Callithrix jacchus: one gene and its partner. The protein of the gene in region 2 interacts with the protein of the main gene of each other region in a pairwise test. Links are inferred from orthologs where the notes say so. Each region holds a gene or a part of one and is shown on either strand. Other genes may lie near its edges.

What was found.
Region 1: the proteins of U2AF2 (region 2) and SUGP1 interact in binary tests that used the Homo sapiens proteins (3 or more experiments, as listed by UniProt). The link is inferred for Callithrix jacchus from reciprocal best matches to the Homo sapiens genes U2AF2 and SUGP1.

The regions. Positions count from the first base shown.
Region 1 is NC_133523.1:17,990,984-17,995,927, forward strand, and holds part of SUGP1 (SURP and G-patch domain-containing protein 1), read right to left. Parts: intron 2,697-4,944; coding exon 2,593-2,696; intron 1-2,592.
Region 2 is NC_133523.1:48,531,684-48,536,627, reverse strand, and holds part of U2AF2 (splicing factor U2AF 65 kDa subunit), read right to left. Parts: intron 4,458-4,944; coding exon 4,378-4,457; intron 4,295-4,377; coding exon 4,172-4,294; intron 3,882-4,171; coding exon 3,783-3,881; intron 3,526-3,782; coding exon 3,277-3,525; intron 155-3,276; coding exon 20-154; 3' UTR 1-19. UniProt on the Homo sapiens protein: Plays a role in pre-mRNA splicing and 3'-end processing. By recruiting PRPF19 and the PRP19C/Prp19 complex/NTC/Nineteen complex to the RNA polymerase II C-terminal domain (CTD), and thereby pre-mRNA, may couple transcription to splicing.

The DNA.
Region 1 (4,944 bases), about 31 Mb from region 2:
ACCAACCTACTGACAGGGGTCCCATTCCTTGCACAGGTGTTACTGCCTGCTGCGGAAGACTGGGAATCCCCTGAGGCACTGACAGCGGGGCCAGGTGCAGAGGACCTGGAGCCAGCAATTCCAACCCACACCTCGGTCTCCAGAAGACCCACAGTGCACAAGCACCCACACCAAGGCAGGGGATGGGGTGGGGCTGTGTGACAGCTTCAGGCAGAGCCCTGAGTCCAGTGGGAAGCAGTATCATGAAACTGGCCAGCTCACCACCCTGAGAGCAGGACCAAGGCCCCACTGATCACGACAGAGGCTAGCTCTGCACTTGGGAGCCTCATCGTTTTTTTTTAATGACAGGGTCTTAGTTTGTTAACCAGGTTGAAGTACAGTGGTGCAATCATGGTTCACTGCAGTCTCGACCTCCTGAACTCCTGGGCTCAAGCAATCGTCCTGTCTCAGCCTCCAGAGTAGCTGGGACTACAGAGGCATGCCACCATGACTGGTTAATTTTATTTTTATTTTTTGCAGAGATGGATTCTTCCTGTGTTGTCCAGGCTTGTCTCACACTCTTGGATTCAAGCAATCCCCCCACCTCAGCCTTCCAAAGGGATTACAGATGTGAGCCATCATGCCTAGCAAGGGCTTCATCTTTTTAAGCCTCAGCTTCCAAAATGGAAAGCATGGAAATGGAGACAATCAGCTGCTTACAGAACTCAGTGAGAGAGATTTAGATGGACCACTTAAACCTAAAAATTCACCTCGAGTGGGAGAAAAAAAAGCATGGAACAAAATGCACGGTATGTCATCATCTGGGTAAAGGGTCAAACATCCAAAATAATGGCACACACTGCTTGCCTGACAGGACAACGGGGGTTGTCGAAACACAATTTCTAAACAATTACTTGCTGTAAGAAAGGGAGACGGGAAGACTCCAATCTCAGGTATTTTTCTTTTTTTTCTTTTCCAGATGAAGTCTTGTTCTGTTGCCTAGGCTGGAGTGCAGTGGCACAAACTCAGCTCACTGTAACCTCCGCCTCTCAGGTTCCAGCAATTTGCCTGCCTTAGCCTCCTGAGTAGCTGGGATTACAGGGGTGCGCCACCACACCTGGCTAATTTTTTAGTAGAGACGGGGTTTCACAATGTTAGCCAAGCTGGTCTCAAACTCCTGACCTCAAGTGATCCGCACACCTTGGCCTCCCAAAGTGCTGGGATTACAGGTGTGAGCCGTTGTGCCCACAGAGTATTTTTCATGATTAAAAAAGATCAGAAGTCTCAAAGGCAAAATGTTACATCTATGATTATTTTTCCTTTTTGAGATAGGGTCTTGCTGTCCACCCAGGCTGGAGTACACTGACATGATCTTCACTCACTCTTACCTCCACCTCCCAGGACCAAAAGCAATCCACCCATTTCAGCCTACCCAGTCACTGGGACTAAAGGCACACACGACCATGCCTGGCTGATCTTTTGTATTTTTTTTGTAGAGAGTAGGTTTAGCCATTTTGCCCAGGCTGGTCCTGAACTCCCAAGCTCAAGCGATCCTGCCCCCTTCGGCCTCTCAAAGTGCTGGGATCATAGGCGTGAGCCACTGTGCCAACATCTATGAATTCTGAGTGAAGAGACAATGATGTGTGTTGTCAGATGTCTACCAAAGAGAAACAGAGGTAGAGAGAGGTGTCCCTTCAGAGGATTCAGTGAGAGCACAGGCATCATCTGCTTGCACAGAGCAAGGGAAATGGCAGGCACTGAGTCCATATTCCCTGGCACACAGGGTGGTACCTGATAAACACCAGTGCCCCAGTGGTCACTGTTGGGCACCCATGACTGCCTGCCCACCGGGCACCTCAGCTGCAGCAAGAGCCCCAGAACCTGCTGTTCTCTGATGCAGCTCAGGAGTCTCAAGCCAGCCCAGTGCCCCTGCAAACCCCATCTACAGAAGACCTGCTCACCCCTGCTGGTGGGTTCAAGCTGACCCAGTATGGAGATGCCTCCCATCTCCCAAAGTGGTCCCACAAGCATGGGGAGGGCTTGAACACGGCCTCACCTGACTCATCTGTCTCTGCTTCTACAGGATAAACACCCTGACTGTGGGGTCTACATTTGCCCCCTGGTATTAATTTACATATTTATTATTTGGGCTGGGTACAGTGGCCTGTAATCCCAGCACTTTGGGAGGCTGAGACAGGTGAATGGCTTGAGCTTAGGAGTCCAAGACCAGCCTGGACAATGTGATGAAATCCCAACTCTACAAAAAAAATACAAAAATTAGCCAGGTATGATGGTGTGTCCTGTAGTCCCAGCCACAGGGAGGCTAAGGTGGAAGGTTTGCTTGAGTCCCAGAGGTCAAAGCTGCAGTGAGCTATGATTGAGCCACTGTATTCCAGCCTGAGCAACAGACTGAGATCCTATCTCAAAAAACAAAAATTATTTATGTATTAGTTATTTATTTATGCCTTTGGTGCAAGCATGATGGAATGAGGGGGCTCTTTGATTAGAGGTGAACAGAAGGATTCTGAGGTGTGACCCATCACTTCCCACGTGCCCAGCAACCCCAGGGGGAGATGCGAGGGCAGCACCAAGGAACAGGAGGCCTACACTCACCTGTGCTGGTCTGTGACTTCTGCAACTTCAGAAACTGCTGCAGGAAGCTGCCATCATTGGCAAACTTGTTGGAAACGCAAGAAGAGTTGTGTGCGTTTGTGATTCTAGAACGAAGACAGAGGATAGAGAGGGTGAGCCAGCTAGAGGAGCAGTGAGGGCACCAGAAGACAAGAATGAGGATGAGGCCACTGCCTCGCCCATCACGGCCCCTCACTCACTGCAGCATTCTCACCTACCGGGACCACAAACTGGTGCCCGGAGATTTCGGGAGATACTGCAAAGTGCACACAGCAGGCTTTGGTACCGTAAGCTAGGAACAATCTTGTTCTGATAAGAGCACTACTCCATGTATTATCTCTGCCTGAATATTGAATCTCCAGGTCCAAATGGCCCTTGGACAAGACGGTTCCTTCTCTCTTTCTGCACAGCACCTGTCCTCCCTTGCTAGTTAAACTGGGTTGTTACTGACTCACATCTGTCCCCCTGCTAGACCTTAGAGTTCTCCAAGGCAGGGCTTACATGTCTCTATTTATTTATTCATTCATTTGTTTATTTGAGACGCAGTTTCACTGTCACCCAGGCTGGAGTACAGTGGCGCAATCTTGGTTCACTGCAACCTCCTCCACCTGGGCTCAAAAGATTCTCGTGCCTCAGCCTCCCGGGCAGCTGGGATTATAGGCGTGCATCACCACGCCTGGCTAATTTTTGTCTTTTTAGTAGAGACAGGGTTTCACTATGTTGGCCACACTGGTCTCGAACTTCTAACCTCAAGTGATCCTACCACCTCAACCTCCCAAAGTGTTGGGATCACAGGCATGAGCCACTGCATCCAACCTATTTATTTTTAAGAGACAGGGTCTTGCTCCGTTGCCCAGGCTAAAGTACAGAGTGCAATGGTGCGAAAACAGGGACTACTGGCAGGTGACACCATGCCTGGATGATATTTCAATTTAATTATTTTTTGCAAGGGGAGGGTAGAGATAAGGTCTTACTATATTGTCCAGGCTGGTCTTGAACTCCTGGCCTCAAGTAAGGGTCCCATCTTAGCCTCCCAAGTCACTAGGACTACAGGCATGTGACACCGTTCCTAGCCAATGCCATTTTCTGACAGGCAGGAAGGGCAGCTCTGACAACAGCATATCAGCAGTGCCCAGCTCTGATTTAAATATATGTAGGCCCTTTGGTTTGCCTTTGTGTTGACTTGTTATTTTTAAAAAAGTTATACACATATTTTGGAAAAAAAAAGAGGGAGAGAGTAGAGATAAAATACAAAATAGGCTGGGCGCGGTGGCTCAAACCTGTAATCCCAGCACTTTGGAAGGCCGAGGTGGGTAGATCACGAGGTCAACAGATCGAGACCATCCCGGTCAACATGGTGAAATCCCATCTCTACTAAAAATACAAAAAATTAGCTGGGCACGGTGGCACGTGCCTGTAATCCCAGCTACTCAGGAGGCTGAGGCAGGAGTATTGCCTGAACTCAGGAGGCGGAGGTTGCGGTGAGCCGAGATCGTGCCATTGCACTCCAGCCTGGGTAACAAGAGCAAAACTCCATCTAAAAAAAAAAAATACAAAATACACTGTGATTCTTCCAGCAAGATTGCTTTGGCTGTTTCCTTAGAAATGTATGATGCTTTGCAGACCCCCAGCTCTGAGCTGCAGGCACACATGGGTAAAGAAACACAGGCTTTGGCTAAACATGGTGGCTCATCCTTGTAATCCCAGCTACTCAGGAGACTGAGACAGGAGAATCGCTTGAGCCCAGGAGTTTGAGGCTACCATGATGTATGATCATACCACTATACTTCAGCATGGGCAACAGAGTGAGATCTTGTCTCTTTTTTAAAAAAAAAAGTAATAGAGGCTCATTATGGAACAAATGGCAATGTAGAAAAACTGAAATAAGCCCGGGAAGTATGGAGAAAACCCCATCTCTACAAAGAATACAAAAAATTAGCTGGGTGTGATGGCACATGTCTATAGTCCCGGATCTATAGAGGATCACCAGAACCCAGGATGTCGAGGCTGCGGTAAGCTGCAATCGTGCCACTGCACTCCAGCCTAGGTGACAAAGTAGGACCATTTCAAAAAAAAAGAAAAGAAAAGAAAAGAAAAACTGAAACACAGAAAGGAATGGGAAAACCCAACTAAGTCTCCCTACTTTTAACAACCACTATTAACACTGGTATGTCTTTATTTGGCTCTCTAAATTAGAAGTCAGAGGAAATAAGATTGTGATCACAGCACACATTCTACCTCTTCTATTTCCTACTATAGCACACCATCCTGCTCCAATCTCAAATTCCTCAGACACACTGCTTTTTAAACCCACATGATCCACCATATGGATGT
Region 2 (4,944 bases):
CACCCTCCCCCGGCCGCCTCTACCAGAAGTCCCGGCGGTGATAAGAGTCGGGGTCACAGTATTTTGTGACAACCACTCTGTTGGCGAACTTGCGGCCTGTCAGGCCCTGCATGGCTTTCTGGCAGTCAAACACAGAGGTGAACTCCACAAAGATCTGCGGGGAAAACAAAGGCAGGTTTGTGAACAAGGCTCACACCCAGTGGCCAGCCAGCATCCACCCAAACCCAGAACTGAACGCAGGAAGGGGCAGGGAGGAAGGGGCTTTGCCACAGGCGTCAGAAAGGGACCCTTAGTGGAGGTTTGGTGGAATTCACCCAAACATCCTGCAAGATCAAAAAACAAGAGCACAGACACACCACAGGCATAGAGAATCAGCAGAGCCACAGAGGGCAGGCGGAAGGCAGAGGCAGAGGCAAGCTCACCACCCCTACCCCAGGGGTCCCTCGTGCTGAGTGTCTACTCCACACCAGCCATCACGGTGGGCGCTCCCAGAACCACCCCAACAGCCATGTTCTCCCAACAATAAATGAAGTAAGTGATGCTCGGAAATTAGGAATCGGAAACAAACAAGTATTCTTGAGTCAGAAACCTTTGAACATGGACTAGGCACTGAAAACTTAATTTTGCTAATTAATCATGCTATTGTGGTTTTGTTAAAAAACAATTTTTTAAGGTTATCTGGTTAGAGCAGTGGTTGTCAACTGGGGGAGGGGAGAGGGGCGTGTCCCCAGGGAACACTGAGCAATGTCTAGAGATGCTTTTGGTTATCTCAAAGCAGGGAGTAGTGCTTCTGCACTTGATGGGTGGAGACTGGGGATGATGCCTCTCAACACCCTACAACATACAGCATAGACCCCCACAGAGAAGTTATGTGACCCAAAGCTGAGAATTCAGAGAAACATACTTAAGGACCTCAGGAGAAATATATCTGACATTCTTTATCCAGCAAAGAAAAAAAGAGGCGGCGGGAGAAATTAGCTAAATATAAAAAGAATGACAAAAATATTGGCAACTTGAAGCCAGGTAAAGGTAAACCAAAATATTACCACATATACTATGATAAAAATATATTACTATCACAGTCTCTGCTTTTAAATATATTTGCAAAGATAAGTAACAAAAAAAATGTAATAAATAAGACGCATTTTTTTTTTTTTTTCTGAGACAGAGTCTTGCTCTGTCGCCCAGGCTAGAGTGCAGTGGTACAATCTCTGACTCACTGCAACCTCTGCCTCCTGGTTTCAAGTAATTCTCCTGCCTCAGACTCTCAAGCAGCTAGGATTACAGGCATGCACCACCACACCCAGCTAATTTTTGTACTTTTAATACAGATGGGGTTTCACCACATTAGCCAGGCTGGTCTTGAACTCCTGACCTTGTGATCTGCCAGCCTTGGCCTCCCAAAGTGCTGGGATTACAAGCATGCGCCACCACACCTGGCAGATGCAATACACTTAATATGCAAAACAGGTCAGCTAATCCCAAAGGCCAGGGTCTCTTCATTCCTCCTCGTTCCCACAAATGTTTCCTCAGCTTCTGCCTGAGCCAAGCTCCATCCCAGCACCAGAGGGCAGCCCTGAGCAGCCCTGACATACCGTACTCTGGAGCGCAGCGGGCAGGAGATGCCGTTGGCCTTCCACATGCTCCTGTAAGATGCCCCTTCCACCTCTCCAGCTGCCCTCCCCAACCCTGTTCTCCCTGGGCAAAGCACTCCCACATCCCAGGCCGGACCTGCGACCATCAGCCCTCACACTGGGAACACAGACCTGTCCAGTTAAGTGTTGCTGGACATCTCTACTGGGTGTCTCAGAAACCGCAAAGCCAGCTAGCCCCACACCTGCTCACCCCTGCATTTCACCTGGCATCCCCACCATCAAAGCTGCCACCGAGTATCTCATAGGCCTTCTCCCTCCCTCCACACCAATCACCAAAGTGTGCACACTTCCCAGGCCCGAGTCTCGAATCTATCAACCCCTCTCCATCCCCTGCTACTACTACTTTAAATCAGGTCACCAGGAGACCTCCCCACCATTCCTTTTCTCAACAGCAGCCAAAATCACCTCAAAAATGGAACCACGGCCCTGTTTTCTCTTTAAAAAAACCCACCACTCCAGGGAGAAACTGAGCCTCTTCCACAACATATGAAGGCCCTCCCCAGTCTGGCCCTGCAGAGCCAGCCCTGGCCCCGACACCCCTGGCTCCTGGGCCACTTCAGCAGCATCGACCCTCCAGCTCCTGGCATGCCCTCCTGCTCATCCACATCCTGCCCTGCAAGGAAGTGCCTGCTGTACCTCTGCACCCCCAACCTCACTACATGGGGCCATTTCCATCTGCCAGGTGTGACCACACTGGAGGCCTCTCAATAGCTTCCCTCCCATCTGGCTCAAAATAACTGGTCCTTCTAAGACCCACGCAGCCCTCCAAGGCCCACCACTCAGCCCCAGCCCCACCACCTCCCTCCCTCACCTGCTCACTGCCACCTCTTGACCTTGACCCCCCTGAATGAACATGCCCAGGAATGCTGCAACTCAACACAACAGGGGTGCCCTCTAACAGCTGCATCCCCAGGGCTTCAGCAGCACAGGATGGAAGAGACCGCTATTCATTACTGAAGTCTCAGAGCCTGGTCCAATGGGAATTCCATACACACGCCCTCACCACTGCCTCAAGAGGCAGACAAGGTGAGGTGATGATGACACCTGTCACGGCGCTGGAGGTAACAGGACTTGGTGGGCTCTGAAATCAGACTGCAAAAACCTGACACCTCCCTGTGTAGCTGCCCCCACTGTGCCTGTCTCCTCCCACGATGGGGCTCAGGAGCTACTGGGAGGGCTCCGGGTGAGCACAGACACAGCTTCAGCAGGGTGCCTGGCACACACGAGACACCAGCAGGTGTCCTGGGGCTGTTCCCAGCACTCTTCCCTGCTCCACAAACCAGGCAAAACCATTTCCACAAGCAAGACCACTTAAGGAGGAGGAGCAGAGTCCAGCTCTAAACAAATACAGAGCTGCATTCCCCAGCTACTGACCCTCCTGCAGGCCCTGGGCCCCCACAGGACCACACCGCCCTCTGGGTCACCAACATCTCCCATGGCCAGGCCTGAGGGCGGCACACAGTGATGGCACCTATGCTCGTGAAGCAAAGGGAGACCCAGACAGGGAGAGCAGGAGAGAGGGAGAGGAACGGGAAGACAGAACAGGAAGAAGGCGGGGGCAGGGAGAGGAGGAGAAGGGGAGAGGGTGAGGAAGTGGGGCGCGGGCCTGGGGCATCCTGACCTTTCCGCAGCCAGGCACCTCGACACCGTCCACGGGCCGGGGGATCTCGATGGACTTGACCAGCCCGTACTTGCTGCACTCGTCACGCACGTCCTCCACGATCTCCTCATACTCCTCGTCATCCAGCAGCTCCTCGGGCAGCACCATGTTCATGAGGCACAGGACCTCAGTTGGGTGGCCGCCCATCTGCACCTGGGAGCTCATCAGCCCCGGCACTTGCAGGGTCACAGGTGTCTGATTGATGGTACTCTGTGGAGCCAGAGGACGAAGGGGTGTCACAGGGGGCCCAGACCCAGTCACCCTCTGCTCAAGCCTGTGCCCCTCGGATGCCCACCCTGGGGAAAGGCCAGCTCTCCACTTCAACACCTAAAGCCCCACTCCGCAACACTGCACTGAATGACCCCCAAATGCCTTCCCATATATGCTGGGGGAGAGATCAGGAACACCTGTCCCTAGCCAGCCCCTCCCAACCCCGGGGGCCCTCGAGCCAATGGAAGATGACGTGCCGGGGGGCTCACCAGCGTGGCATTCTTGGCTCCCACACTCGCCCTCTGGACAAGCAGCTTCTTATCCCCCAGCTGCATGCCGTTCAGCCCCGCAATGGCCTGTGTTTGGAGGACGAGGGGTGGAGGGGTGCGGGGAGAGGTGGGGTCAGGGATCTGGAGCCCAACACCTACCCCCAAGCCGGGGCATTGGTGGGGGAAGAGGGGAAGGCAAAGGGGATGAAGAGCCTGGAAAAAGTCAACACCATGGGAAAGGGACCAGCCCACACGCAGGGCACTGCCTCAGGTTGGCCGCCTCCCGCCCCGTCCCCTGAGGAGGGGAGACCACAGCTTGGCAACAGCACAGAGCGGGGAAGGACAGATGCGGCAGCGGCCAGGGACTGGGGACTCACCTGATCCGTGACGTTGATGTCCACGTACTCACAGAAGGCGTAGCCCTTGGAGAGCCCCGTGGCACTGTCCTTGACCAGGTTGAAGGCCTTGAGGGGCCCGAAGGATGTCAGCAGCTCTTTGACCTACAGCAGCCAAGAGTCCATTAGGGCTGGGCTGAGGTGGGGCAGGGTGTGGGGAGGGGACTGGAGGGAGGCAGGGAGGTTACCTGGTCATCATTTAGGTAGTTGGGTAAGCCCCCGATGAACAGCTTGTGAGCAGAGTCAGGGACCACAGTGGATACAACCCCTATGGGCAGAGGAGAGACAATTCCAGGACCAGGTCAACTCCCAAAAACCTGGGACAGTCCTGAGGCAAGGAGGAGGGGCCACACCACGCGCCCATCACCACCCCCCCGCCCCCGCAGCCTGATCTGACAAGGGAGGGCCTGGCCAGTGGCACACCACGGCTCCGTGAGAAGGCACCATGTCTCCCAGATCTGCCCAGCCTCAGAGGAACCTCAAACTAGAACATCCCCCAAAACACCCCGAGGGCACCAAGACCCGAGTTCACACCCACCTCTGCCACCTGCTGCTGTGGAACGCTGGCAGGTCACCTGGGCTTGGGACCCACTGGTGAGTCCCAACACACTCCACCCCTTCACTGACAGCCACCCAGGCAAGGCTCCCATTAACGCTCGGTCCCCCACTTCACGCCCTGTCAGAACAGCAGGTGCCACTGCAGGGGCAGCCTGCCCTCCTAAGTGGCATGATGAGATGAGGAGCCAGGGCTGCTC